Linked DNA regions of Cricetulus griseus. The protein of the gene in region 4 interacts with the protein of the main gene of each other region in a pairwise test. Links are inferred from orthologs where the notes say so. Each region holds a gene or a part of one and is shown on either strand. Other genes may lie near its edges. The genes, in order: Cby2, Ptpn3, Sox5, Lmo1 and Tfip11.

Region 1 (5,645 bases), on a different chromosome or scaffold from region 4:
TCTTCATTAGAAATGAAATACCAGGAGGGGCCAGGCCTATGCTCAGGAAGGAGTCCAGCCCATAGGCAGTTTCAGGCACCAGTGAGGGCCATGTATGTACCCAGGGCTCTTCCTGGATCCCCAGCACTGACACTTCGTTGGGCCACAGCTATGAGTATACTACCCTGGCTCCTGAAGACAGTCTCTTGATCATCTTTCTAACACCTAATGGGGGAGGTATGATGAGCCTCAGAGTCACCTGTGCTCCCCTTCCACAACTTCATTCCCTGAAAGAGCCAACTTTGTTCTTTTTCACACACTGTTCTCCATCTCTATGGGAGAACATGTCCCAAAGACCAAGAAGAGACATTCCTTCATTGACTGAATCTCCTAGGATCAGTAGAACCCCTTCATGATGTTCCAAATACAGATAGAAATCTTGTCAAGACCCAGGTCATCAAACAGATTAGATCAGCCAATGGAAGAAATCTGGGAATATCATTGACCTGGCCCAAGACCCCTACGGAGAAGGGCAGGACTCTTGAGTGCCAGTTAAAGGAGACTGGGGTCTTGAATCTACATGTATTTGCTCAGCTTTGTTGCTTACATTTTGGCAGAGCCTTTTGTAAAGCAATACATTCAGATTTCATAGTAGTTTAGAACAGGAGTTTCCAAATATTACCAGTGGGACTCTCTTTTTGTGTGACATCTTGTCTACCACTTGTTCTCTTATGAACCTAGGAAGCAGGCACAGCAGCCATGAGCAGGCTCATTTTTAGAGGTGATGGAGAAACAAGAACTTCTCAATGGGACTGAGTCATGGAAGTTTTGAGATCAAGGCTCCTGGGGCTTTGGATTCTAGGTTCAAGATGATGAAATGGCTGCTGTCCTGGCTTCATTTCTGTTGCAGTGATGAAATGTCCCCAATATGAACATCTTAGGGGAAAAAGGGTTTATCTGATTTACAGGTTACATCCCATCACTGAAAGGAAGTCAAGAAGTTGAGACTACTAGTTACACCCACAGACAAGAGCAGAGGGACGCTAATTGCATGCACTTTCCTAGTATTTAGCTTATTTTCTCCACTCTTACATAGTCTAGGACCCAAACCCAGGGTATGGCACTACACACTGTGGGCTGGATCTTCCCACATCAAGTAACCCAATTTAGAAAAAACAAAAAACAAAAACAAAAACCTCGAAAATAAAAGAAAAAGAAAATCCCTCACAGGTATTTCACAGGACAGCCCAATCCAGATAAGTCTTCATTGAGAATCCCCCACCTAGATTGTGATTCTAGATTGTGTTAAGTCATGACTGAAACCACTCATCATGGATGTTCAGTATGGTGTATGCAGGAAGCAGCCTTTAAAGGGGTGGCTTTTAGATTTTGGGATATTTCAATATATAGATGGAGACAGAAGGAAGGGAGGTTTCTCAGGGAATGGAGCCCATGCAAAAACATTAAATCCATATGATATGTAGATATCATATACAACTCATAATAATTTTATGCACTATTTTAGTGCACCTGTTTCTTTGCATGAAGGCAGGTGTAGGATTTTTCACTTGTGACATCATGTGGATGCTCACAAAGATACATATTTTGGAGCACTTTGGAACTGAGATTCTCCAGGTTAGGGATGTTCCAGGTAAGCTAAAATAATATTTCAATTGCCAGTGTTGTGAGAATTAAGTGAATTATATAGGTCAAATGCAACCACATAGCCAGCTTGGCAGCCTGCAGATGCCTGCAGCTGCAGCTCTGAGGGACCTGACACCCTCCTCAAGGAGGTGTAGTCATCCCAAGCTAAAATTTTAGAAACTGAAATTCATACAACTTGCCCAAATTCTTATAACTGATAAGTAACAGGACTGAAGTTGAAGAGGAAAAAATGTTTGACTTTAAAATCCATGCCTTTAATTTCTAACATATGATTGGATCTTATTATCTGTGGGTTTTCATTTTTTTGAGACAGGGTCTTTCTCTATGCAGTCCTGGTTTGCCTGGAACATGCTATGTAGAGCAGGATGGCCTTGAAGTTCTGATTACATTCCTATCTGCACTGCCTCCATATAACGGGGTTAACAGGCCTGTGCAAGGCATAGCTCATTATTCATAGACTTTATAGTTATGAATTTATAGACCTTTGACTATCACGGCATTAGTGCCCATAGAATACTTGTGGTCATTCTTGGATCTGTAGAGAGTCTGTGGGAGTGTACACCCAAGAACTGGCCTCCAGGCACCCCTTGTTTGAACTCTCATCCTGGAAAATAGTGTCCTGTTTGCAGTTTATATACCACTACATTTTCTGAAACCTGTGCTTCCTATTGGTGGTTTCCTTGCTTAAAGTGGCATCTACAAACCCTGTTAAAGACTGTTCCTAATTACAGTGTGCCTGTGCTGTGCCTCCCGGAGCAAGCTTGTTAGATAAGCTCTGCTCAGGCCGGGTGCACCCACTGCCAATCTACAGATCCGTGAGGGTGTCTTTAAACAGAAACAAGGATCAATTACCAGAATTTTTATGACCAGAACCTTATAGGAACCTAGCCCAGCATCTCCCCTAGGAACCATGGTTCAGTATTCATTAATTCAAGAAGAAAGGTATTCAGAATAACAAAGGCTGGCTGTATTTCCTTGTGAGGATGCTCGGAGGTCAGGTGCGGGGTGTGTGGGGGGGTCCTCTGGGCCTCTTAGTCTACCAGCAAGCAGTCCTTTACTAGTTCCTGTAACAGTTTCCTTGCTCTCTCCCACAGAGGGGCACCACTGAGCCCTTCCTGAGGTTGCACAACCTGTACAGTATTCCTCGCTGCTCCAGGCAGACTGCCTTGCCCCGAATGAGTCGCAGGGTAGTCAGCCAGCATTCCTACCCACTCAACCGCTTCTCCTCTGTGCCCTTTGACCCCATGGAGCGCCCCACCTCCCAAGCTGACCTGGAACTGGACTACAACCCTCCCAGGGTGCAGCTCAGCGACGAGATGTTTGTCTTCCAGGATGGGCGCTGGGTGAACGAGAACTGCCGCCTGCAGTCGCCTTACTTCTCTCCGTCCTCCTCTTTCCATCATAAGCTGCACCACAAGAGGCTGGCCAAGGAGCACCTGCTGCAGGAGGAGAACAAGTCTCTACGGGATGAGAACCGGGCCCTGAGGGATGAGAACAAGGCCCTCCGCAAGGAGAACAAGATACTACAGATCTTTTGGGAAGAGCACAAGGTCACTTTGGGCCATGAGGAGAACCCATCCTCCTCACCACTGATGCACAAGGACACAGCCTCCCAAGAAGTGGTGAAAAAAGACAATGTCACCTTGCCTGTCCAGCGTAGCAAGGAGAACACCCTGCAGCTCATTCGAGAGGAGAATCGGGCCCTTCAGCAGCTGCTGGAGCAGAGACAGGCCTATTGGGCCCAGGCAGAAGACAATGCAACTTCTGCCGAGGAGGGCAAGCCCACCTCCTCACCCAAGGAGGAGCCCCATAACCCTGGGCTTCTGCCAGAACAGAGTCCAGGCCTCTCCTCCCCATTTGAGGAGCACAAGGGGCCGCCTCCAACACAGGAGGACTCTAAGACACTGCGTGCCCTGAGGGAGATGGTTAACAACTTATCTGGACCATCTGGGGAGGAGGAGGGCAAAGTAGGCCCCAACCTATCTGACAGCGCTCAACCTCTGCAGCTGCTGAGAGAGATGAACCAGGCCCTGCAGGCCCTGCGAGAGGAGAATAGGCTGCTGCAGGAGGAGAACCGGGCTCTGCACGTCCTGCGTGAGGAGCATCGAGTCTTCCAGGAGGAGAACAAGGCCCTGTGGGAGAACAACAAGTTGAAGCTGCAGCAACGGCTGGTCATTGACACGGTGACTGAAGTTACAGCCCGTATGGAGATGCTTATTGAGGAGCTGTATGCCTTCATGCCGGCCAAGAACAGTAAAGATCCCAAGAAGCCCAGTAGGGTCTGAGGCCTTCTCAGCTGACATAGACACAGATCAAGCACAGCACAGGAGGCCAGAGAGAATCCCCAGCCTCCCTATGTCTTCCTCACCTTTGTCACCCCCAGTGCATGCCTGTGGAACAGCAGAGAAAGGGCCATCCTACACCCAGAGACACACAATAAAGGCAGAGGAGGCTGGGCCAGCCGACACCAGTGTGGAGTTTTGGCTTCTTGTCATCTGTCTTCATTACTCTTTTAACTTCCCACTTCCTCTTCTGCTTCCTGTCCTCCTCTTTCCTCCTCCTCCCTCACCAACCTTCTTGTCCAACCCCCCTTCCTCCTCGTCCAACCCCTATGCCTTTTCTCCCCCTCTATAGACTTAGCTGGGTATGGTGGTACATTTCTGCATTCTTAGGATTCAGGAGACTGAGGCAGGAGGATTGTGAATTTAAGGCTCTAGCTAGGCTACCATAGTAAAAGAGGAAGGGGCTGAGGTCAGGCACGTGACATGGGGTGATAGACGATGACTTTAGTCTTTAGAGCAAAACTGAGCTGAAAGTCAAAGTTCCTGTAGACCTCTGCCCATACTCATCAACGTCCCCTACTAAGATCTATAAGAATTGATGAATCTACATTGACTCATTATTAGCATGTAAAGTCCACAGTTTGTTAGGATTCTCTGGCTGAGTTCCTTAGACCTTGAGCCAGGAACCGTAACCCACCCCTCTCCTGGAGGTCCTGGCATGTTGGGAGTCTCAGTATCCTTAGAACCCTATATGGTGGGCATTCTCATCTCTAAGACATGAGAACAGGAATTCTAAGACAGTCACCAACTGACAGGTAGGAAAAGCCAAGTGGGGACTCGTACCGCAGACCAAGTCAGGCTCCTCCATGGCACTCACTGCTGGTTTCCTAGTCTCTAAGCATTAAAGGTGTTTTTGGTATCTGTTTTCCAGATTTAAGAACTTGACAAGTCTCACCCCCAGAGCAGCATCAGAAATCCCAGAGGAGGGGGGACAATATGAGAGGTTTTCCTCTCACTAGTCAGTGGCACATTTGCTCTGCACCCAGGGTAGACAGTGACGGATGTACAGGAGGAGGCTAGTCATTTATTCTACTAATGTCACCTGAATCTGAAAAATGTGTACTGGCTGTTGATGGTCCTCTGGGCCTTAGTAGTTTTTCCTTCTCTGTTTGTTCAATTAATTCATCATTCAGGGGACCATAAATATCAAACCTGTTTAAGTCAGGGTACTAACCCCAGGGTGTGTGTGTGTGTGTCGGGGTGTGTTACTTTTGTGTTTTGATGAAACCATATCGATTCTGTTATGCTGCACAACGGGAAGACAAAAGACACACTCTTCTAAGGTTTGTGTTCCCAGTATTTAACTTGGGTTAATCTACATAACAGCGGTTAAATGTTGTCTCATGAGTTGACAGTGCTCAGGGAACTTAATACTATTTAGCCATGTCAACTTTCTCTGTTGGGCAGAATCTAAATGGATGAAAAAAAAAAAAAAGCCAGACAAGCCATAAGTTGCCATTTTTATGGTGTGGGGGAGATTTATTTCACAACATTGCTTCATTGTATAGCACAGAGCAATCTGTCAGATTGCCAGCACTCTAGTGGAATCTAACTTATAGTGGAACAGTGAGAAAGTTCACTTTTTTAAATTTTTACTTAATTTTTTTTTAATTTTATGTGCATTGGTGTTTTGCCTGCATGTAGATCTATGTGAGAATG
Region 2 (6,341 bases), on a different chromosome or scaffold from region 4:
GAAAGGCACACAAAGGGCAGAATAAAATGACAGTCTCCTTTACTCATCAATCAATGGCTAGCTCCTTTATATAAGGCAACAGACCATAAAACCTGACACCCCGCTATGAGGTCAATGGGCTTGCCTTCAAATCCTCCCCAGTGTGTGTCACCAACTGTGAACCCATCCCTGTCCCCAGCTGTGAACCCACCCCTGTAATTGTTTTCAGTGAAACTGAGATAAAAACAAACCAAACCACCTACTGTAAAGATTGAAGAATTCATGGAAAACATTGGCCACATTTGAACTTAATCATGGATGTGTGTGTTATTTACTTGGGGGAAGGTTTTTGAGACAGGGTCTCTCTATAGAGCACTGGCTATACTGGAACTTGCTAGCCAAGCTGGCCTAGAACTCACAGAGATCTGCCTGCCTCTGCTTCCAGTGCTGGGATTAAAGATATGTGTCACCATGTCCAGGTCTTTAAGTGTTTACTATCACACACACAACATTAAGACATTAATTAACTTTAAAAACCAAACAAAACAAAACATAGAAGCCCTGGCTGTCCTGGAACTTGCTTTGTAGATCAGGCTGGCCTCAAACTCACAGAGACCTGATGGCCTCTGCCTCCTGAGTGCTGGGATTAAAGGTCTGCAACACCACTCCTGGCTTCAAAATTCTATTATTTGCATTCTTAGTGGTGTGTCCATGCCACCTTTTCACAATTTGTTGCTTTCAATATTTTCATTTGTTGTTTCCTGTTGTTGCATAGTGATAGAAATAGTTTAAGTTATAATTTTATTTGTTTATTGTGTGTATGTATGCATGTGCATGCACATGGAGATCAGAGCATAACTTGCTTGCAGGAGTCAGTCTTCCACCAGGTGGGGCTTGGGGATTGACTGATCTCAGGTCAGTTTGTCTGCAAGTGCCCTTACCCACTGAACCATATCAAGGACCCGAGAGATCTAGTTGTAATTATTTCAGTGAATGGATCTGAACACAATCAATCATTACCCTCCCTTTGAGCATCTGCTTTGTTCCAGTTGGGGAGGAGGATTCTTTTATTTCTTTTATTATGTTCCTGGTTCTGTTATGGTGATTTGAAATACGAATTTAAAAAAAAATCTTGCTTGTTGGTGGTAGCACATGCCTTTAATTCCAGCACCTGGGAGATAGAGACAGGTGGAAGATCGAGGCCAGCCTGGTCTACAGAGAGAGTTCCAGGACAGCCAAGGATACACAGAGAAACCCTGTCTCGAAAAACAAAACAAAAAATTAATAATAATCTTTAGGGATTTAAGGTTCACAGCTATTTTCTAGCTCGAATCTGAGACCATTGCTTAAGCAATGATGAGCAGAGAAAAGGTAACGGTTTTACTCCAGCAACTTTAAACTGGACAGCGCTAAGAATTCTCCAGGCCTCATCTTAGCAGTCCGTGTTACGAGAGGATGGCATAATTGAGATAGGCACTTCCGAAACGAATATTGGGGTAAGGCTTCTAGTGGTAGAGATTCGTGCTTATGGTGTGCAAAGCCCTGGATTCAAGCCTCAGCAAGGGGTAAATATTTAAAGTGGACTGAATAAATTCACGTCCTTTTTTATTTTATTTTATTTTTCCAATCCCCACACGCCCCCGAATCCAAGCGTAGGCATTTGTATTATTTAGGGCACAGAGAGCGCAAGGCTCTGGTAGCAGATCACACAGCAGCTGGTAGAGGACAGAGTGTGCAGTCAGCTGACTCTGAATGGTCTTCCCACCATGCTTGGGGGAGGAAGGTTACCCAGCACTCCCTGCCCGGAGGCAGAAGGCTGAGCCTGAGATGACCAGGTGGGACTCGGTGTGCAGCCTCACCAACCCCTCCAGGGGGTTTTTCCTTCCGGACGCTGGGCGCCCCAGGCTCCGAGCATGCCCAGTGCTCTCCCTGCCGGTCCGAATGGTGCTGCCACGGCGCTGTGGCTCCAGGTTTTGCGTACGATCCTAGGCGGGGCCAAGGCAGTGCAGCCCCCGGGACTCCCGGCTCTGTCGGAATTCCCCGGACGCGACGCTCCCGCGGCTCCCGCAGCGGTGCACTACCTTGGGACCGGGACCGGGATCTAAACCAGTAAACCAGGCACGGTCGAGGGTCTCATGGTGCCTAGGGGACAAAAGGTTCTCGGGACATCCGACTATAGGGGTCCTACCCACCTCTACATCCTCCGGTTAGCAATCTTCATTCAACAAAAACGTTTTTAGTTTGTGCCAAGAGTTGTTTAGAGGTTAGGTCTCTTGAGAGGCGGAGCTACCGAACTGACACTGAAGGGAGGTACTCCTTACGGGGGACCCAAGCCAAGAGAGACAGCCAGTAACCGACCCCGTTTGTCCCTGTGCCCTCTTTCCCGTGCCGTAGGCACAACACCTGCGCTCCTTGTTTTGGCACTGACTTTTCCGTCCTAGGAAAGCTTCCTCGTTTAGCTGCGTGACTGAATGGTATTTGTCACCTGATCCGGCTGTTCCACCAACTCTCATCAGGCCACCCCCCTAGCCTTCTTGCCCAGCTCTCTCCCCCACCATCCCCACCCCGTTCTTAAGAATTTATCACCTCATACACTGCGTTGTTTGCGGACCTGTTGTTTGTTGCGAGAGACTCCCTTCCAAACTCCCAGCAAGGGGCAGAAATTTTGTCTATTTATTAAATGTGAAGAACGTAAGTAATTGTTGAATGGATACGTGATACTTGCTTGGAAGGCGATAACGGACGTGGAGAGTGGCCAAGAGGTCAGGGCTAGTTTAGAAAGGTAGCCAGAAAGGCCTCTCCTACGGAAGATACCTGTACGGTGAGAGGGCGCCGGGCACCAGCTAAGTTGGGGAAAAGACGTCCTACCCCGAGGGAAAGGCAGCGCAAACGTCCCGAGGCGAGTCAAGTTCAGAGGGTGTGATGAAGAGGAAGGTGCACTCAGAGCGCAGGAAGGCAGGTGTGGGAGGAGGCGGAAGAGGCAGGCAGGAACGCCCTCCAGCTAGGGCCCCTGCTGGCCTTGGGACAGGCTAACCTGTTTGGCGTCCTAGGACCAGCAAAGGACTGTGCTGGAGTGTCAGCGAGATCCCCAACTCAGCCACGGAGCCCGGTGCAAGCTCGCTGTCATTTCAAAGATTCATTGAGCGCCAAGTCCTTGCCATTCCTAGGCATGCAATCCCGGAAAGTCAGGCACACAGTAGGTGTTCAATAAATGCTTAAGGTATGAACGGCAGCGAACGTGAGCCGGGGTCTCGGAGGTCCGCGGGATGTCGGCAGGTGGCCCGCGAAGGGCATGGCAGCGTGCCCCAAGCCTGCCCCGGGCCCGCCCCTGTCCCGGGTCCCCCGCCCCGCGCGCGGGCCCGTCGCGGCCACAGCCGGGCCGGCGGGAGCCGCCCGCGGGCTGCACTGGGCATGCTCAGACGGCGGCCAGGTCGCGGCGCGAGCGAGCTTCCGCGCCGCCCGTCCGCGCGACCTACCTGGGCGCCCCGCGCCCCCGGATGCTGCAGGTATGGGCGGCTGGGACCTCCGCGGGGTGGGCCGGGGCGCTGGCTGCGGAGATCAGGGACTCGCGGGGCGCCACCCCACCCCCACCCGGCCCGGGGCGCGGCGGACATGCGGGAGGACTAGCGGGAGGGCTGGCAGCCCCGGGTCCCCCGCGCCACGTCGGGCATCTTGGGGGGGCGCTCAGGCCCGGATCACCTGGCGGGGCTGGGGCGGGGCGCGAGCGGGGACGGCGCAGGGCTGGGCGTTCAGGACACGGCGGCGCGGGCGTGGGCGTGCGCTCCAGTCTGGTTGAGCCCTGGGCCCGGCGCCGCGATATAGTCAGCCTCGCCGAGGGGGCGCACGGCCGCGGGGATCCATCCGTCCGCGGCCCCCGAGGCTCGCCCCCCAAATTGGGGGGGCGCAGTTCGCCTCCCAGTTGCAAAGATGGCATTTCCTGGGCCTGGCACGAACTCCAGAGCTAATCCAATCCGCCCCGTTCCGCGGGCGACCGGGTGGCTTCTCTGTTAACTTGCGGTGACATTGCTGCGTTGTGCGGAGAGAGAACCGGAAACCCTCGCCCCCGGTTGCTGCCACCCAAACTTATTACGAACTTGAGGGTTGCCTTTAAAAAATTCATGGGAAGTTAAGACAACTTGGCACCTGGTGTTCCATGAAGGTGCAGGGAGCTTGTGGTTAGGAAACGCGAGACCTGGGTTCAAGTTGGGCTCTTTACCTTGGCCAGTTGGTGACCTTGGACGAGTAGTTTAACCTCCCTGATCCTCCATTTCCTCCCTTGCATGCAGGCAGTAATAATGCCCACCTCGCCTGGTTGGTGGTGGATTAAGTAGGATAAATGATGTGGAGGTGTTTGGCTCTGTGCCCGGCACAAAGCAAGCGAGCAGTTGGCGTGATGTGATTTTAATTCAGTTAGAGACCCTCGTGGCTCCCATTTCGTCAGGAAATTAGAATTAGGCAAGCATTTTCGGAGCCTGTGTTTGTGCCCCGGAGAAGGTCTGCTGAGGCTTTGGAAAAGCAACTGAACAGAACGGTGGGGAGCAGAGAGCCTCTTGTTTAAAGGCAGTCTGGAGTTAAGAAACTCCAGAAGTTGACACTTGGTCCCCACTTGCAGAAAGAACTGTTTCTGCAAGATGACCCGCCTTGCAAATGAGTTGGAAAGCCTGTCTGGGAAGATGCCGATGCTGCAGAGCTCCCATGCCTAACCTTAAGTACTTGGATCAAGGTTTGTCGGCATCTCACAGTGGGTTTGTGTCTTCTTTGCGGTGGGTGCCCCTTGTGCATTATAGGGTGCAAAGCAGCCTCCCTGGTATTTGCTCAATTGGTTCTTGCTGCAGCCCTTTCCATGTGCCAACCAGAAATGCCACCATGTATTGTCTGGGTTGACGTGTCTCCCCTTTCAGTAGAATTAGTTGTGATACGCTCTGCTTTTTGTCTAGCCTAGGCTATCTGAGAATTTCATCTGGGGCTTTTTATGATAATAACGAACCTTTGCAGTTAGTTACCTCGTAGAGTTGTGCAGTGTGTATGAACATCTCGTTTAGGTTTTACAGTTCTCCCTGAGAGGGTGGTGTCACTCCCATTTTATAGAGGAGGAAATTGAGGCTCTGAGCGGGCACCTGTAATTGTCCTGATTGTAACTGGGATGGAGGAACCCAAGGCTTCTGGTTCCAGGGACAGGGCTTTTTCTTCTGGATAAGACTGTCATGTGTGGCTAGACCTCACATAGATGTCTTTCCTGACGATTAAATCAAGATCTGGACTGTATTGGAAACTGGAAGCCTTCCTGAGATTGCCTAGTTGAAAATTAACAACAGTAAGCTATTATCTGACAGGGAGTAGGCCATTCTAGTTAAATATTCTAGTGTATGAGCACTCCCATAAATCCCCACATACAGTTAATGGAATACCAATCTGCCGAGAATTAGAATGGAATAAAAACGTGCCTAATACTCTATATTGATCTGGGTTGTCTCTGGTGATTTGTCTTCTCCTCCAAAGACTAGTGTATGCAAATTAGACATGAGTGGCAGACGGGAGGTCAGGTTGCTGAGGGCATTTGGAAGAGATGAGGTGAGCCTTTGAACAGATGTTTCTGTTTGGCAGCTGCAGGGCTATGGGTAGGGAAGCAAGGTGAATAGGCCAAGGGACCCCCCCAGCCTGGAATCTTGGTGCACTTCCCTGCAACTCAGGCCAGATCTTAGTGTGTGTGGCTCTTGGCTCCCAGCTTACCTACGAGCTAAATTCAAGATCCCAGCTTGAAGCCCTCATTTTACCTGACTGATCTCATAGCAAAGGTATGATAGCTTTTAATATGCTTGCTGAGGTCTCAACTCCATGCCAGAGAGACAAGGTCATAGGCAAATCTTATCCCAGGAAGAAGTTTGAGTTTTAGGTTGATATTCGGTCTCAGTCCTAGGGTAGTAGGTAATTGCTCTTAGTTTTTATTGGCTGGAAGTTTAATTATAGTGTTATGCCCCACTCCCTACCCCCACCAACACACATACATATGTGAGCTAGCAAAGACTGAGTGAGACCAGAGCAAGAGGACTCACTGTGGCCTTCTGAGCTACACATAGGTCCATGAATGCAAGGGGCACTTGTTTTCTAGAATGAGTATAAATAACCTCCCGGAATGACCAGAAGACATGGAATACTCTCTTTCCTTTCAAGGGACTGGCATGTTGGGAAGGGATTGGTGATTTGTGGTCCCCTCTCTGACCATAATCGCAGGGCTTACCTTCCTGCACCAGTCAGTCAGTTCCTGGAAAGCAAAGCCTGGCCCCATTTCTCTCCACAGGTTCTGCCAAGGCTGGAATCCTGATGGTATTCTACATACCTTAGCCTGGCTGGGCTGGTGGGCA
Region 3 (5,645 bases), on a different chromosome or scaffold from region 4:
TCCTCTGAGAACAGTATCAGCTTGTGCATTAAGAAAATATCTAGAGAGGGGCCATAAAATGGTAGAGATAACTTCCTTTATGTGAACTAAGGTGACTGTACTTCAGAAATCAAATATATGAAGTGACCTCATTAAACAACACTTTACACCTTAATATTCATTCCCTATGGGAAAATTTGGCTTCAACCATGATAACTATGTTTATTGGGAGGTGTTTTACACAAAGGTAATTCTTAGCTAGATACCAAATGAACTTTTAAAGTTCATTTGATTAATCTGAGCAAAAATACACTAGTGTGTGTGTGTGTGTTTCTCCTGATTGTAGTAACTAACCAAATTATCATTAACTTACTAACAACCTTAACCCACTTCTTTTCTGGTGAATATTTTTCTTAGATTTATATCAAACTGGACTATTTTAAGAGGTACCAATTACAAATATAAAAGGGAGAAACTGGCAGTATTATTTTTCGGTGGTGTTATAAAGGCAGGGATGATGAGGGGAGATGGGGTGTGGCTTGAACAGACCAGAGAGGAAGGAGGTGGGGGCGTGGCTTGAACAGACAGGCAGGGGAAAGGAAGGAGGGTGGGGGCGTGGCTTGATCAGATAGGCAGGGGAGAGGAAGGTGGTATTCAGTTTGCTACCTTTGATCTTTTTGTTGTGTCTTATTTCCTTTACCGTATCTTATTTGGTCATTGTGTGGCACACAAAAGAATATAAGGTTTTAGGATCCTTTACAAAAATCATCATCCAATCAAGGGCCCAAAGGGCAAAGTGTTAACACAGTTGCTATTAAAAGCACCTTTTTTTTTTTCCCCTAAGTGACTTCAGTGCACTTTAGACATGAATAGAATTACCTTTATTTTTGTTGTCCCCCAGGGAAAACTCTTGGGCAAAGCAAACTCAACATCCACTGAAGAAAATGTCAGGACAGACTATGACAGGACATATTATGGACTTGCTTTGTGGTTTTCTCTGGGCACAGTTCAATCATAGACATAAAACTCAACTAAACTGGAGAGTTTCGGCTGCTACAAGTCACCATGAACAATTTGTTTCCCTTCAAATAAAACAAATGCCGACCAAAGAGAGAGCCTGCTCAGATAGCACTGTGTCGGAATGGGTTTTGGCCATGGATGCCTTCAGTAGCATCTACCTGGAGCTAAAACAAAGTATTCTTGTTGCCCAAGGTCAAGAAAGGAAAAGCAGGCTTGTCTAGAATGTGCTGTGAGATCAGAACCCAGCACACTTAAATGGAAAACCCACATCAGTCAGGAGGGTTTGTTAACAGACACAGAGAAACATTTTTTTTTAATAAATCTGTTTTCACATTGTATGTTATAATGGTATAAAAACAAGTGTCTATTTTTTTCTCTTATTCAGAGTGCTTCAAAACAAAATAAACAAAAACAAAAAATTGGCTCTAGATAATTGGTAATTAAATAACTAAAATGAGAGAAAAGAACATAAGTTAATTAAGATTGAACACAACCCTCCTACTAATTCACCCCTTCATATTAAACACCAGAACTGACACTACCGGGGCCAAGACTGTTAACACAGAGGAAGTTATGGATGGAGAAGCAAGTGTGTGGATGAGTATATGTGTATCATATGCACACATACATGTATGTGTGTACATGTGTGTAAGAGCTGGAAAGAGAAATTAACTTTAAATACCTAACAGCTTACTGGCTGTACTTCCAAATCAGAGCAGAATAAAATAGAAAGGGAGAAATAAAATAAATTATACATAATTTACTAATCTGGGAACAGCTGACTGTTATTATTATTATTATTATTACTATTATTATTATTATTATTTTATCATCATTTTACAACACTAGCAAAAAGAGGCAATTCAAAGGAAAATACAGTCATTAAAAAAATAAAAACAACAAACAAACCACAAACAGAAAACAGAACCAAACCTCTGACATGCAGGTATGATCAGCTCCTCCAAGCAAAACCCCAGAGCAAGACTTTTGAGAGAGAGAAAAACAAAAAGGATTTTTCTTCTTTACTTTTTTTTGTTGTTTTTGCTTAGTTGTGCCGGGGGGGAAAATCAAACTTAAGGGCAGTGTTTGGTGGGGCAATTTGAAAAAGGGATTGAATACTGTAACATTTCCAGGCCACTGGCTACAGTGTAACATATCCATCCAGGCCACTGGCTACAGTGCTGACTGACTGATACTAAACACTAACCATGGTGAGTGACCTGAAGTGACTCTGTGTTTGTTTCTCCAGGCCCCACCCCTGCCTTGGCCCTTTGGTTGGTGACATCTGTATCACGAGTCCTGTCACCATTGGCTGTTAGTCCCAGCAAGGAGTCTGCTGGCAGGAGCAATTGATCTTTAGCAGACTCAAATTACCGTGAAGGACCATACAGTAGTAAGGGTCTGTGCTCGGCCAGCCTCCCCTTTGTGTGCTACAGTGAACTGTAACCAAATCCTAGTTCTTATGGAAGGGCATACACATGGCCCCCGTTTGTGAAATGCAGCCTCTGACCTCATTGCATGGAGAGATGAAACGAAAATCCTACAGAACTACCAGTTCTGTTTCCCAATTGGGAAAAGATGGAATGGGGGAGACACACCCTAATTCTGTATCTCTGAAAAATGGCCAAATATATTCAGTCAAAACAATGATTGTTTTACTCAAAGTTTCAACAGGAAACACACACACACACACACACACACACACACACACACACACACACACACACACACACACACACACCACTAAGTAGCAAACATTAGAAGAAGCAAATTGTCCAGGAAGAAAGGGACCTCAGGAAGCATTTGGTTGGTAGCTTCCATGTTTGCCAAGCACATGTCCATGACACAGGGCCACCAGGTCCACCCAATAAGAAACATTCTTGACACTGAAAAATAGAATTTCTGAGCCCTACGTTTAGTTCCATTGTCACTAGAAGTGCAAAGTCAAGGTCAAGGTCAAGGTCAAGGTTGCTATTCTAGACCACTTGCTTAGGAGAGGTGGGATTCCGTTCCCACATGTGGGTTTTGCTTTCAATGGCCCAACATTATTCCCTAATAGGAATGTATCTAATGTACCATAATCACACACATACACACACAGAAATCCAAGATCAGAAAATATTTTTCCTCTAAATTTCTATGTCTCTCTCTCTCTCTCTTTTCACCTGAGAACGGCACCTACAGTTTCCATTACAAAAAAATCAATCTCACCAGTTGCTGGTGTATCAGCTCTTTCCAGGGACTGTCTAAGGTTTAACACTGTCCCAACTTAAGAAGGAGCAGGAGTAAGGAAGGGGTAGAAAATGAACTTGGTGATCGCTTCAGTATGGATTTGGCACTTGCTTAAAGATGTAGTGTTGTGTGCAAGAGTAAGAGGTCTCCAAAGGAAATGATTGCTGATTGTGTGGTATAGAACCAAGGAAGGCAAAAACAGGCTCTCTTTTTCCTCTCTCCCCCCCACCCTCACACACGGGACCCCATCTTTAAAGCAGAAGAGAGACAGGGCAGAGGGACCCAAGTGCCCATCTCCCTCTTTCTGTCAGGTGCAAGACAACAATCACAAAGGATTAAAAAAAAAAAAGAGAGAAAGAAGGTAAAAGAAAAACCCAGAACCATCCCCCCCAAACAAAACAAAACAAAACTTATTTCTTTTTTAAAAATTGTAGCACAAAACAACAAAACACATTCACAAGCCACTTGTTGGCACTGTGTACCTGAGTGAGAATTTCTAGTTATAGAACAAACAGCCATAAAGTTTATTAAAAAAAAAAAAAAGTTGACGGGTGAGACTTCAGTGCTGGGGTCTAGCAGCTGAGTTACTGGCTTTGTTTTACCCATAGCTTATTTCAATCTCTTGTTGATGTTGTCTGCTTGGAAATTGTTTCCTTTCCGAGCCTTTTGAGGCTGAGGTCTATTTGTCAGCTGATGTCCCAACTATTTAAGACTAACAGTTAAAATAACAGTCAGTGTATGAGAAAGTTAATGTGCTTGGCCACTGGTAAGGATGGACCAGCTAGGGCTTCTTTAAGTCCTCAGCTCACCACACCACAGTCTGTTGGCCCTTATCAGTTGGCTTGTCCTGCAATATGGTTTTCGCTGTCACTCCCATAATCTACATCTGGGTCATCCTCTTCCTCGTCATACTCGTCGTAAATCTCTCCGTTGATGTCCTCTGCCTGGATCTCCTCTTTGATGTGAGGTTCCTCTCCCTTCACGCTGTAAGTGCTCTGGATCAAGGGCATCCCGGGCTCTGGGCTGCTGGACACACTCGAGTGCTCTGAGGGCAGGTGAGGGGATGGCATTCCCGCCATGGCGATGGCTCCAGGGTACACAACTCCAGCAGTGGCGATGGGAATCTGTGCTTGTTGCCTGTCACAGAAAAAGAAGGTGAGCATACGCATGAGATCTCAGCTGTCCTCTGGCTCAGCACTAACTGGATCCGGCTTACCCAACACGCTTCAATGACATCCCGTGTGGATTCTAGGGCCTCCCCTGCCTGTATGGTGCCTCATAGATTAGGAGGCATATAGCTGAATTGCCATTTGATAATTAAAATAATCCTGATTTTTTATTATTAGGTTAAAAAAAAAATCTGTCACAGAAAGATTCAGCAAGAACCAAGAGCTTGCCTCCTGGTTCGCTTTGCCTTCACTATGACAGATGGAAGGAGTTTTTGTTTCTCCTACAATGGAACCTAGAGATAGTTCCAGTGCAATGGAAAAAAAAAATCTCTAAGCTATTGAGAACTTTCAGAATAACGTTATGGTCCCCAAAGTATGATCAAGTAATGTTATCTACCTAGTGTGTGAAATGGTGTGAGTCCTTTGGGGACCTCAGGCAAAGCCAGCCTCATAGACATACCGCCCTGGAAATTGCCTATAGTCCCAGACTTACTTCCAAGTCCTACTCTCCCACTATTTAAAACCTTTTAACATGGGATTCTCGGTTTTGCAGTGGACCTTAAAAATTAATTTAGCTGATACTGGTGGGTTGGGTTTCCTAGACATTCACCTGGGCTCATTTTCCTACTTTCTTTCATTCATTGATAGATTTACTTACTATATGCTCCAGAAAAGGTGGCCTCCTGGAGCCTTGCACAGAGCATGCTGGCTCTGGAGGGTGTGTGGCAGGTCTGATCAGCTACCTTTTATGATTCAGCCACCTTCTGCCTATCCCCAGAGTGGTCTTTGCTATCTATGCTCTCTGTATCTTCTTGTTTCAAGCATGAGTGACTTTTCCCCCCTGTGTATCTTGAGAATTCTGCAGTGCGGCTGTAGGCGGCATATATAGCATCACCGTGCAGAGAGCATCCTTGAGGCAGAGGTCTAAACTCATGATGGCACTCTCCTGTCTGTGACCTTGCTGCATCGTAAATGTAATATCTACTGTATAAGGCGCATACACAGAAAGCATGTGTATGTGTTGTATATGTGTGGTGTGTGTGTGTGTGTGTGTGACTTCACACTACTCAGAAGCTAGTGATTCTTTTGGAACTACTGTTCAGTTGTGTTATCTTGAATAAGCTGCCAGTGGTGAAATTTATCACAGTGAAGTGCTGTAAGTCAGAACACCAGCTGGGAGAAGAACGGGCAAGACCGCAAGACCCAGACGTACCTCTAAGTTTGTAGCAGTCATCATCAAGACTA
Region 4 (6,075 bases):
GCTGTGCTCCAGGCCTCCCTGCTTCCCTGGGGCTATATCCAGCTCTTCTTCCTCCATTTGGCTGGAAGGAAAGTTTGTTTCGAACAAGGATCTTCTTCCTAGGAGTCCATTGCTAGTCTAGAATCCATAGCGATCTCTCTAAACTGCTTCCCAGAAGGTTGGGCACTTCCCAGTTCTGCAGAGAAAAGCTGTAGTAGCCCCCAGAGTGTCAGCAGGAAACCCCAGCCCTATGCTCTGTCAACCAGTACTGAGAAATCCTCTGTCCTTTTTGTCCTGGTGACAAGGTGCAGGCCCCCTCCACTGTCCCTCTCATAGTAGCTAGCAGGTGCTGTGCTCTGTTGCTTCATGAAAGAAGCAAAGCCCAGCAGCTGGGTAAGCTGAGCCGGGCTGGAGGTTTCCCCTCTTTGTGCCTGGAGAACACATTTAAAACTTTGAATTCAAAATTGATTTTGAAGGGCCCTAATCTCTGCTCCCCTGATGCTCACGGTGTGTCTGCAGCTCCTGCCAGACTCTCGTTTTCTGGTTCAGCGCGTTGGTGCTCATGTCCCTGATGCTGTGAAATTGAGACTCGTCTGAGAGTCTGGGTCCTCCTCCTCCTCCTCCTCCATGAAGATTGCAGGCCTCTTGGGAGCCCCGTTTCATTAGATGGGTGATGCTGGCTTTGCAGGTGCCCAGGATGTAGCTGAGTCACCATCTGGGGAACACAGCTTCCACACACATCCTCCCTGGTCTCCCATAGATGTGTGGCTACAGGCAGCACATCTCTAAGGAGCATGGTGACTAGCCTCTGCATCCTGGGATGGGATTGAAAGACTCTAGACAGAAAAAGACTTGGGCCTGGTGTTTACCTACTGGAAATCCGACCCCAGGGGGGCATTACTTCCCATTGGGTGCTAAAGACTCAGCCCAGGCTATAAGAGGAAAATGGTCATATTAATACACCCAGAAGACCTTCCGATAAGAGCAATGGAAGCCAGGGCTGTGTGGAGCCAAAGGGTCCAGGACAGAACTGAGAGGAAAGGACTGAACTGTTAGCCTCCCATTGACCCCTGAACTCTATGGTGCTGCCTCCCATAGAGTCTGAGGGGGTCAGAGTGTTGTGTGTAAAGGAAATCATGGAGTAGAGCCCTGGGATTTACCTCTCAAAAATTTACTTCAAGAAAGCTAAGTCAGTAAAGTGCCTGCTGTTTGAGTACGAGGACCCAAGTTTGATCCCTGGTACCCATTAAAAACACTAAAATGCATGCATACAAACAAGGGGGAAAATTGCTTTGTGGCAGACAGGACTAAGTCCTGTCTCTTCTTTTTTCCTAGAGCCACAAGTGTCTTGGGCTCCGTGACAGGGGGCAGCAGTATGCCATCAAGGCCCCCCTCTCTGGGGCCCTGCCTGTATAAATCTACCCACTCCAGCCAGAGAGATGCTTGCCAGTAATATCTGGATAGCTGCCATTAAGTCTCTTCATTCATTTATTGAAGCGATGCTTAGGACTGCTGTCAGGTTCAGTGCTAGGAGAACAGCGGTAGATAAGACAGGGCCCCTTCCTAGAGGCTTCAATGCTTGGGAGAGAAGTCGTCATTTTCCCAGTAAATTCTCCAGAGGAAAACAGAGCAATGACCAGTTGCTTTTGAAAACTCAAAAGGAAATGACAGGCAGAGACGGGTGGTTTAAATAAGGAAGTAGGGGTGGAAAAGTCAGTCCCCTCTGTTGATATTTAAGTTCCAGGGTGGAAAGACAGGAACCCCTAGAGAATCAGGGAGAGCTGGAGTGTGGTGGAGCTCAACATGGAAGGGGGATATAGGGGCCAGACCACATGAAGCTGTTCCAGGCTACATGCAGAGCAAGTGTGCCATGCTCAGTGTGCCAGAAGCTATGGAAAGGTTCCAGCCTGGTTTATTTGGAAAGGTTTCTCCTACTGCAGAGTAAAGAATGGGTTGTAGAGCACTAGGCTTATGAGACCAATGCCCAAAATATGGTGAAAGATGAGAGTGGGGGGCTGGGGACGTTCCTCGGGGTAGAGTGTTTGATAAGCACATATAAAGCTCTGGGTTTGATGCCCAGCATTGCATAAACTGGGAAGGATGGTATATGCCTCTAATTCCATCACTCAGGAGATAGAGGCTCAGGAGGTAGAGGCAGAAGGATCAGAAGTTCAAGGTCATCCTTGGCTACATAGTGAGTTCCAGGCCACCCTGAGAGCCATGTGAGACCCTGGCTAAAAAAAAAAAAAAAAAAAAAAAGGCTCTGGAGATGGAAAGAAGCAGCTAGGATGGAGAGTAGTAGGACGTGTGTGTGTGTGTGTGTGTGTGTGTGTGTGTGTGTGTGTGTGTGTGTGTGTATGTATGGTGTTCCTGAGTTCCTCTGGGGACAGAGGATGGCCTGGGGTGATGGTGTAGGTACTGTGAAAGAAAGGTAGAGCAGGGCACAAAGGTAGAGAGGCCAGGTTTGGGTTGGCATTCAGAGCTCCTAGCTTAGACCTGTAGCTTTTAAGCTATGTCTGAGATTGCAGGGAAACCAAAACAAACAACAACAACAACAACAAAAACAAACAAAAACCAGACACCCATTCCTAACCCAGAGAGGGAAAAGCCACCTTGGATATCTGTGCCATTAACTTAAGCCTCCTTCCAGTTAGGGGTCTCCAGTGAGCATGCACAGCTTCCTGTATGGCCAGGTCCTGGTTAAAGGCCTACAGAAGACCTAGGAAAACTGTGGGAAGGTCAGCCCATGAGCTGCCACAGTCTTGGGTGTTTCTGCCTGCTGGCCTTTCTACAAGTTCTTAGCTGGTTCTTGGAATATATGTGTTTCCTCTGAATCTCTGAGCTTAATCCCTAGCTCCCCAGTAGTGTGTTGTTAGGAGCCGGGGCCCTTGAGGGCAGAACCTCATGAATGGGATTAGTATTTTCATGTGTGGGAGCCTAGAGAATTCCCCCACCCCTTCTGCTATGTGAAGTACAGCGAGAAAACAGCTGTCCATGAGCCTGGAAGCAGGCCCTTATCAGACAATGATTGGGCCAGTGCCTTGGTCTTGATCCTCCCAGGCCCTAGACTGGGAAAATGAATCTGTTGCTTACAGTCCACCAATCTGATGTTGTGTCAGAGGTGCCCCAGATAAAGACTTTCTGCAAGGCTGTTGTTTCATACTCCAGGCTGTGCAGCCTCCACTTTCTCCCATCCCTGACCTTAGCTTTTTCCATCTCTAGACACACCAAAGTCACAGAGGCTTCAGGGTTTAGATGCAAGATGCTAAGGACAGTTGGCCTCCTCCAAAGCTCACTGCAGAAGTGCTACTGCTTCTTAATACTCTACTGGAAATTGCTCTCCAAACTGCTGAACCTGAGTCAGTACTCAGCCCGCAAGCAGCCCATCATGATAGCTGTCCCTGGAATGTGCTCTGGAGCTTTCTTCCTTAGCAGGGTTCATATGGTCCAAGAAAAGTTCACTTTTCCCCGTTGTTTAGGAAAAAAGACAGTATGGCCACCCATGTTTCCAGCTGGGAATGGGTGCTTCCTGACAGTGACCAGTCTCCATGGCAACCTTGGTCACTCCTAGGATTGCCATGGGGCAAATGGCATGAGATTTCTAGGCACTGGCTCACAGTGAGTGAACCTGCAGCACTCAGGAAAGGGTGGTGTGGAGTGTTACCATCCATCTGTGTCGGGTGACCCTGGCAGCAGGTGCTAGGGATGCTGCCAGGCAGTCCTTTCTGGTGGGCGTGGCCTGTGGATTAGTCAGGAGTGCCTGCCAGAGTTTGAGGCTAGGACAAGCAAGAATTGTGGGATGGAGCGGGAAGAACACTCTGAGACATAGCAGGCAGGACACTTCAAAGAAACTGAAGGAGGCAAGGTTGCTTCCTGTGTCAGTGCCTGGTTAGATTTTCCCTCCCTAACCTGACCCAGTAAACACCATGCTGCAAATGGACTTTCAGAGGTCAGTAATGAGTGTGGACTAGATGACCATGGCCGTGGGTTCCAACAGTTGTTCTCCTTGGCTTTTGATTCCAAATGAGTAGGAAATGCTATTAGTTCAGGCCTCACCTGCCACGTGGCAGGGCCTGGGATAGGAGTGCAGCCAGACGAGAAATTGTGGAGATAAAACCCGTGTGAAATGGAAGCCTTCTCACAGGCTGCACGGGCCCGTGCAGAATAGAGTTACTTCTGAGAAAAAAACGAGATTGAGAGAGATGCATCAGAATTAGATTACACTTTCAAATTTCCTTGTGGAAGGGATTTGACGCCCAGGAGGGACACAGGCAGGCTCTGCTGGGGTGCTTCCCTTGAACTCCACATCTGGGATGGGCCCAGGTGGATGGCAAGAGCCCTTATCTATGAGGCCTCTGAGTCCTGCTGTCGGCAGCAGAGGTGGGAGGGGATGACAGGGCTGACTGCTGGAGGCTCTCATGCTCTACAAGGATTCAGGTGGCTTCTGCTTCCTTCTGTCTCTAAGGTGTCAGTTTTTGATCGAATCAGAGTCTGTTTTAAGAGTGATGGGCTACGGCAGCCCATGACTGTGTGCACCTGTGCTACAGTGTATGTTTATATCAGCACACCAACATGTGTATGGGCCCAGCCATGCATATGCACACTTACACGCATGAATGTGTTTTCGTGTGCGTTACTGAGAACCTGGTGTGTGTCAGTTCCAAGCTGGGCATTGATAGAACTGATGGAGAATAAAAACAGACACAGCCCCTTCTTGTGTGGCCCTTGTGGGCCTGTGCGATTCCATGCCTGTGGAGGAGAATTTGTGTGCTCTACTCATGTGTCCTGTGGCTGAGTACATCTTCACACCTTCTAGTGTCATCTCATCTTCACAAAGTCTCCTGTGTGAGTCTCCTTAGCACCTCATCATACAGCCCTGCAAAGGAACAGGGCTGACTTCCTCCTTGACATGCTCTCACTGACTACTGGACCAGCCTCTGGATGACACTGTTATCTGGCCAGAGCCAATGTGACTCTGACCACAGTGGCAAGTTCATATCCATTCTCTGCTCTGCAAAGGAAGTGCCTGTCCCTGGTATAGGGCACTGAAGTGGGGCTGTGACTGAACTTTCCAGTGTGTGGAGTCAATGACACACAACTAGCTTGACATTCAGGCTCAGCTAGTCCTCATGACTCCTGTATAACTCATGGGGGCTTTCTGAGACGAGTGTTCTTTTCTTCTTTTGGGTTTTGTTTTTGTTTTGCTTTTCAAAACAGGGTCTAACTACATAGTCCTGGCTGTCCCAGAACTCACTCAGTAGACCAGGATGGCTTCAGAGAAGAGATCCACCTGCCTCTGTCTCCCAAGTGCTGGGATTAAGGTGTGTGCCACCACCCAGCAGGAGTATTGTTTTCATACCCATTTTTACAAAGAGGGAAACTAAGGCCCAGAGTTAATGAAGGCTACAGGGAAAAGTATCAAATAAATCCAGATCAGGGATAATCTAGAAATAGTGGGCTTTTCTACCTCAGAAGTACTGATCTCTTCAGACACCTAGGAATTCCTCTAGGTTCAAGTGAATGAATGTCTTAGCTAGGATTACTGTTGCTGTGATGAAACACCATGACCAAGGCACCTTGAAGAGAAACAAGTTTATTTAGCTTACACTTCCACATCACTGTTAATTATTGAAGGAAGTCAGGACAGGAACTCCAACAGGGCAGGAACCCAGAGGCAGGAGCTGATGCAGAAGCCATGGAAGGGTGCTGCTTACTGGCTTGCTCATCAGGGCTTGCTCAGCCTGCTTTCTTATAGAACTCAGGACCAGCAGCCCAGGGATGGCACCACCACAAAGGGCTGTGCCCTCTTCCGTTAATCACTAATTAAGAAAGCACCCCACAGGCTTGCCTACAGCCCAGTCATATGGAGGCATTTCCTTAAATTGAGATGTCCTCCTCTCAGATGGTTCTAGCTCATGTCAAGTTGACATAAACCTAGCCATCACAATGGGGGAATGTGACAAGTGACCCAGGAGATTGCCATAAAAGATGTTGAGAGACCTGGTGAAATCTGAATGAGGGTGTGTAGATTGGAGAATAGGACTCCAGTGATAATTTCCTAGTATTGTGGCTGTTTTCACCCTTGTTTTCAGTAAT
Region 5 (6,229 bases), on a different chromosome or scaffold from region 4:
GTCTTGAACTCACAGAGATCCTCCTGTCTCTGCCTCCTGAGTGCTGGGATTAAAGGTGTGTGCCACCACTGCCCCACTACCTTTGACACCTTTTTTTTTTTTAAAGATTTATTTATTTATTTATTTATTATGTATACAGTGTTCTGTCTGCATGTGTCCCTGCAGACCAGAAGAAGGCGCCAGATCTCATTTTGGATGGTTGTGAGCCACCATATGCTTGCTGGGAATTGAACTCAGGACCTTTGGAAGAGCAGCCAGTGCTCTTAACCTCTGAGCCATCTCTCCAGCCCTCCCTTTGACACTTTTAAAAATGTGCACGATGAGGGCACATGTGCCTCGCAAGCATGTGAAGGTCAGAGGGCAACTTTGTGGGGTGGGTCTTCCTTTTCACTTCTTATGTAGGATCTGGTGATAGAACTCCGATAGCCAGGCTTGTGTGGCAGTGGTAAGCAGCTTTACTTGCTGAGCCATCCCACTGCCCCCCCCCCTTTACAATTGAAAAGAATGTTTTTAGCTTTTAGAGTGGTAAAGCACTCACCTAGCATGCATGTGGCCCTAGGTCCAATTCCCAGCAACACACAACACACCATTTGTTTTAGATACCATTTCAAGTGTAAAAATCAAACAGGAGCAGAAAAATTCTGATAGATAAGAATCTTAGCTGGGCAGTGGTGGCACACACCTTTAATCCCTGCCATTCAGGAGGCAGAGGCAGTGGTAGGACAGCCAGGGCCACACAAAGACTCCCTGTCTCGGGGGGATCCTAAGTAAAATTAATAAAAAATTCTGAGTGTAGTTAAGTGTGGGGACACATGCATTTTTCTTTTCTTGTGAGACAGTGTCTTACTGTGTAGCACAGGCTGTCCTACCACACTTATCTTGTGGCCCTAATCACTCTCTACCTTCATTTCAGCCAACTGTATTCTACAGGGTGACCTTCCCTAACCTCCCTATCCTTTAGGACCTGTGAGAATGCTCCTTGACCAGGGCATGGTTCCAAAGCTACCAAGCCTGTGGTTGGTTAGCACTCGTCTATCCCTAAGTAGCTGTATTCGTCACAGTAAGTGCTGAGGAAGAACCTGCCACCCCAGGTCAACAACACACAGCAAGATGCTGTAGCTATAGGACTTGATAGGCCAGAAAACTCTTTTGGGGTGCCTCTCCGATCCTCTAAAGCCAGGGCATGCAGCTCAGCAGACAGTACCGTTTGCCTCCAAAGCTGGGCCTCTCTTCATCGGAGTCATGTTCAGCCCATACCCCATAAGTGGCCTCCTCCTTGGTCTGCCAGTGACGCTGCCGGTTGGGGTTGAACTCATTCTGGAGATCCCAATCAGTGATCTCAAAGTTCTCACGCTCATCATCATCATCGTCCAGATGACCTTCCCCGTCCCGGTACAGGTGGGACAGTGACATGGCTGGTCACTAGAGGAAGGGGGACAAGAAGAGCAATGTGAAACCCTGGGGCCAACAGAAGATGCCCAGGAATCTCTACTCCTGTTTCTTCCAAAGGAAAGCCCATTAGCCTCATGCTACCAGTCAATAAAGTAGCCATTAAACACAGGACAAAGTGGCCAGCTCTGGGACAAGTGAGAGAAGTCAGTCCCAGCAGTCCATACAGGTCTAAGAACCCATTCTGCCTTGGCCTTGTCAGAGTCAAACATCACCCATAAGTGCCACAGGAAGGAAGTAATAGTTCTATGTTATTACCTCAGAAACTGAGTGGGCACCTCAGCCTCTTCAGTTCTCCAAGAGTTATATCAAGCCAACTGGGAGTCCCAGGGAAACTTCTGAATGTCTTCTGAAATACTGTTTCATGAGATTGAATGACCAGTGTAACACTCGGGTTTTTTCTTTCAAACCTGAGTGGCTTCTGAGGTACTGGAAGGCTGAGGTCTTTATGAATGACACTACACAGCGGCACCTAGAGGGTGTGGGATAAACAAACTGTTCTACCCAGGAATCTGTTTGGCCATCTCGGTAATTGTATCAGTGACTACAGTCGGTTTTAGAAGGACTGATTAAAGTGGCACTTTAGAAAAGAGAACTCCTGCCAGGAGTTGGTGGTGCACGCCTTTAATCCTAGCACTCGGGAGGCAGAGGCAGGCGGATCTCTGTGAGTTCTAGGCCAGCCTGGTCTACAGAGCAAGTGCCAGTGCCAGGATAGGCTCCAAAGCTACACAGAGAAACCCTGTCTTGAAAAACCAAAAAAAAAAAAAAAAAAAAGAGAGAGAGAGAGAGAGAGAGAGAGAGAGAGAGAGAGAAAGAAAGAAAACTTCCTCAACACCTACTCCACAATCCCCCTCCTCAACCTCCCACCCCACCGCCTCACTCAGGAGGCAGAGGCAGGTAGGTCTACTCTGTAAATTCAAAGCCAGCTTGGTCTACATAGTGAATACCAGGCTGGTCGGGGCCACACAGTGAGACCTGGTCTCAAAACAAACAAAATAACAAAAGCTGAGCTCCCAATAGGTGCTTTAAAAACAGCATCCTCGCCGGGCAGTGGTGGCGCACACCTTTAATCCCAGCACTCAGGAGGCAGAGGCAGGCGGATCTCTGTGAGTTCAAGACCAGCCAGGTCTACAAGAGGCAGTTCCAGGACAGCCTCCAAAGCCACAGAGAAACCCTGTCTCGAAAAAACCAAAACAAAAACCAAAAACAGTATCCTCTTCAGGCTGGAGAGGCAGAAGCAGGCGGATCTGTGAATTAGAAACCAGCCTGGTCTACACAGCGAGTTCCAGGACAGCCAAGGCTACACAGAGAGACCCTGTGTAGGGACGGAGGGAGGTAGGGAGGATTGTGAAAATCAGGAACACTTAAACCACACAGCCTGAGTTCAAAGCCCCCCTCTACCAGCGCCTCTGTGCGTGGTTATCACATGCGTGGATATCACACACAAAAACGCTAGCGTGGTACACAGCACACTAACGTCCTCAGTGTGTGACGCCATCGACTGACAGCGGTCTTCCTTACGTACAGCGAGATCTGGGCTTCTCTAGCAGGGTGGGACTGCTTAGCCATTAACAAATGTGTCCCTGCTCCTCCTCATTATGCACCGTTAACATCAACAGGTTCCAACCTGAGCTACGAGTGCACTTTGCTCGCAAAGTTCTCAAAGGAGGCAGGGAGCCCTGGACCAATCGGATTACAACACCGTCGCCTCCCCAGCACAGAACTGCTACAAAAAAAAAAAAATTTCACAGCGGTCAGGTGCTGCTCACAACACGAGCGCGCCCGGGGCTGGCTATCCAGTGTCAGCATCGGGACGCTGGCGGCTCCCAGCGCCTCATCTGGTCCCGGCCCCGCCGCAGCCCATGGCTGGAGACCCGGGCGCAGGGAGGCCATGGGGCCGCCGCAGAGGCTCAGCCCGTGCTCCCAGGACGCCACCCCGACCCCGCCGCTCACCTCGCTCGGCGTTTGCCAGCCACACAGCTTTCTCCAGCCTACGAGAGCCTGCGAGGAGCCCGCCAGCCGAAACCCGGATGTAGCCCTGCCGGCGCACCGGAATGACGTCACTAGGCGGTGACTTGCCACTAGAGGGGGGAGGGTCTGCGTGCCGGAAGGACTAGAGATCCCGCCCGCACTGCTTCCGGTTTCCACCGGAACTGAGGCGGAGTAGACATCCGGCCAATGGAACGCCATTGACCGGTGTCCAAGGGAGCGTAGGAATGGTTCCGGGAACCCCCCCCCTCGCGGATGGGAACAGCCGGGTCCGGACTACCTGAACCAATGTCACGCGGACCCTGAGTAATTAAAACGCCCTCGGCACTCCCTGTCGCGAGAAGGGAAAGCGAGGGGCTTCCTAGGAGAGATTTCTCCGTTCCGATCCCCTCGCTGCAGAGCAATCATCATGCACACTTCCGGGCTTTTGTTTCCTCTTTGCTGTAAACAGGAAAGGTAAAGGAGCCTAAGAACTTATCTCCAGGCAGTCTGGCCAGGCTGTAAATAAACCCGTTTTCCTTTGCCAGTCCCTATTCCTGTTTTCTCCTGAAACAGACTGACACTAAGACAGCAGATTTCTGCACCCAGGTGCCTCCTTCTTGGCTCTTTTAGGACAAGCCAGCCTGGGCCCACAAAAGTTTAAGGCATGAATGGGCGGAAGGCGTGCACAAGCGTTCTCTCCAGGAAGAAGTTTTATTATTTTCCTCTCCGCTCCAGTTATTTCTCTTGCTGTGATAAACAACTAAGGGGAAGCGGGGCGGGGTTTTTGCTTGGATTAGTTTGGGTTTGGTTTTTCAAGACAGGGTTCCACTGTGTAGCCCTGGCTGTCCTGGAACTCGCTTTGAACTCGCTGGTCTGCCTCTGCTTCCAGAGTGCTGGGATTAAAGGCGTGTGCCACCACCGCCAAGCAAAAGCATATTTCATCTTACGCTTCTCCGGGTTATAGTCTGATGCCATCTAGGGTTAAAGAAAAAGTTAGTTTTCTCTCACGTCCTGGTGGGGTTTTTAGTTGTTTTTTGTTTGTTTGTTTGTTTGGCTGGTTGGTTTTCCCTGTCAGCTTCACACACACAAGAGTTGTCTGGGATGGCCTGTTAGGCAATCCCGTGGGGTCATTAACCTGGTTAATGATTGATGTAGGAGAGACCAGACATTGTGGGTGGTGCCACCCCTGCTTTGATGGTCCTGGTTGAGCTTGGGGAGCGAGCCAATAAGCAGTGTTCCTCCATGGCTTCTACCTCAGTTCTTGCTTTCAATTTCCATCTTGTTTTTCCTTAGTGAACTGTAACCTATAAACTCTTTCCTCCCCAAGTTGCTTTTGATCATGGTCGTTACAACTATGAAACCTAACTTAAAACGCACCGGAAAGATGTATTAGTGAAGCGCTTTGGGCATCTGTCAATGTCACCATGTTAACTGGTGAAGTCAGGGTCCCTTCTTGGGGATTATAGTCCATGAAAGAATTTAAGAACAGATAAAAACGAAGGCTAGAGGGCAACCCTTCAAAGGTCGAGCAAACTGTAACTCTCACAGCTGCCCAGAGGAGAATGGAGGAAAAGGAAAGGCATGATGCCATTTGAGATAGCCAGTTTGGAGGTCAGCCACATGGCATGAGGGGGTATTGGAGGGTAAGTCTAGATGCCCAAAGTGCAAATTTAAAGAAAAAAAAAAAAACAGGGCAAACAAGCTGGAGATCTAGAAACTGCCTGGGGGAGGAGAATGGAGAAGGGGAAAGCCTTGTCATAAGATAAACCGGCATAGAGGTCAGTCACATGGCGGGGGAGGGGGGGCCTTCAGAGAATATGCAAGGAATCCCAGTGCATGGAAATTAAAAGTACACTTATGTTGGGGAAGAATATTCTTGCAAGTGACAAAGTGAAAGTAACCCAGCCAGGCAGGCAAGCACACCTAAGCCACAAGCTGACTTCATTTCTATTCTGGCAAAGGTGTGTCTGTGTCTCACCCGGTTGGTAGGAGCTCAACCTCAATTTGACATGATTGCTACTCCATAATACTCACAAAGGGAAAGCCTGTGATGAAAAGTCTCAGAAATGTTTGGCATCTGAGGCTTGGACGTATACTACAAGAGTTTCACAAACTAAGGAGAGTTATGGAATACTGACCCTTAGGCAAGATAGCCATCTTTGATAAAACAAAACAAAAACCTTCTCACACTTGGGCTCTGTCCAGAATCCAAAAGGAAAAGACAAAAGAAGAAATGTGCCAGGCATGATTGCACACACCCTTAATTCCAACACTCTGGGTAAAAGTACAGGATATTGGATCTCAGTGAGACTTGTCCTAGATAGCAAGTTCCAGGGCTAAATAATGAGGTCTTGTCTCCAAAAATGAAAGAAAAAAAGAAAAAAAAAAAGAAACAAAAAGAAAAAGGTTTTCTGAGTCAGAAGTCAGAAAGACCCAACTGAACCTGGGTGGAAATTTACATTATTCTAAGACGAGCCTGCACGTGCATCACCAAGCAGGTCCTCAACCTGCCCCACTGGATTAACCCTTAAGTAGGGGAAACAAAAGCATCGGTAAAACATAGACTAACAGTTCTCAACCTCTGGGTCACGACCCCTTTGGCAAACCTCTATCTCCCCCCAAATACTTACATTATGATTCATAACAGCAAATTACAGTTACGAAGTAGCAATGAAAATAATTTTATGGTGGGCTGTGGTGGCACACGCCTTTAATCCCAGCACTAGGGAGGCAGAGGCTGGCAGATCTCTGACTTTGAGGCCAGCCTGGTCTACAAAGTGAGTTCCAGTACAGCCAAGGATACACAGAG

Evidence for each region.
Region 1: the proteins of Lmo1 (region 4) and Cby2 interact in binary tests that used the Homo sapiens proteins (3 or more experiments, as listed by UniProt). The two-hybrid records come from large-scale screens. The link is inferred for Cricetulus griseus from reciprocal best matches to the Homo sapiens genes LMO1 and CBY2.
Region 2: the proteins of Lmo1 (region 4) and Ptpn3 interact in binary tests that used the Homo sapiens proteins (3 or more experiments, as listed by UniProt). The two-hybrid records come from large-scale screens. The link is inferred for Cricetulus griseus from reciprocal best matches to the Homo sapiens genes LMO1 and PTPN3.
Region 3: the proteins of Lmo1 (region 4) and Sox5 interact in binary tests that used the Homo sapiens proteins (3 or more experiments, as listed by UniProt). The two-hybrid records come from large-scale screens. The link is inferred for Cricetulus griseus from reciprocal best matches to the Homo sapiens genes LMO1 and SOX5.
Region 5: the proteins of Lmo1 (region 4) and Tfip11 interact in binary tests that used the Homo sapiens proteins (3 or more experiments, as listed by UniProt). The two-hybrid records come from large-scale screens. The link is inferred for Cricetulus griseus from reciprocal best matches to the Homo sapiens genes LMO1 and TFIP11.

What each region holds. Positions count from the first base shown.
Region 1 is NW_023276807.1:229,952,441-229,958,085, reverse strand, and holds the end of Cby2 (protein chibby homolog 2), read left to right. Parts: intron 1-2,738; coding exon 2,739-3,929; downstream 3,930-5,645.
Region 2 is NC_048595.1:86,574,694-86,581,034, forward strand, and holds the start of Ptpn3 (tyrosine-protein phosphatase non-receptor type 3), read left to right. Parts: upstream 1-2,057; 5' UTR 2,058-2,670; intron 2,671-3,364; exon of another isoform or gene 3,365-3,485; intron 3,486-6,341.
Region 3 is NC_048601.1:5,792,906-5,798,550, reverse strand, and holds part of Sox5 (transcription factor SOX-5), read right to left. Parts: intron 4,369-5,645; coding exon 4,065-4,368; 3' UTR 1-4,064.
Region 4 is NC_048596.1:91,610,877-91,616,951, forward strand, and holds the start of Lmo1 (rhombotin-1), read left to right. Parts: upstream 1-1,970; coding exon 1,971-1,986; intron 1,987-6,075. UniProt on the Homo sapiens protein: May be involved in gene regulation within neural lineage cells potentially by direct DNA binding or by binding to other transcription factors.
Region 5 is NC_048597.1:91,998,460-92,004,688, reverse strand, and holds the start of Tfip11 (tuftelin-interacting protein 11), read right to left. Parts: upstream 3,533-6,229; 5' UTR 3,403-3,532; intron 3,176-3,402; exon of another isoform or gene 2,975-3,175; intron 1,922-2,974; 5' UTR 1,708-1,921; intron 1,423-1,707; 5' UTR 1,414-1,422; coding exon 1,205-1,413; intron 1-1,204. UniProt on the Homo sapiens protein: Involved in pre-mRNA splicing, specifically in spliceosome disassembly during late-stage splicing events. Intron turnover seems to proceed through reactions in two lariat-intron associated complexes termed Intron Large (IL) and Intron Small (IS).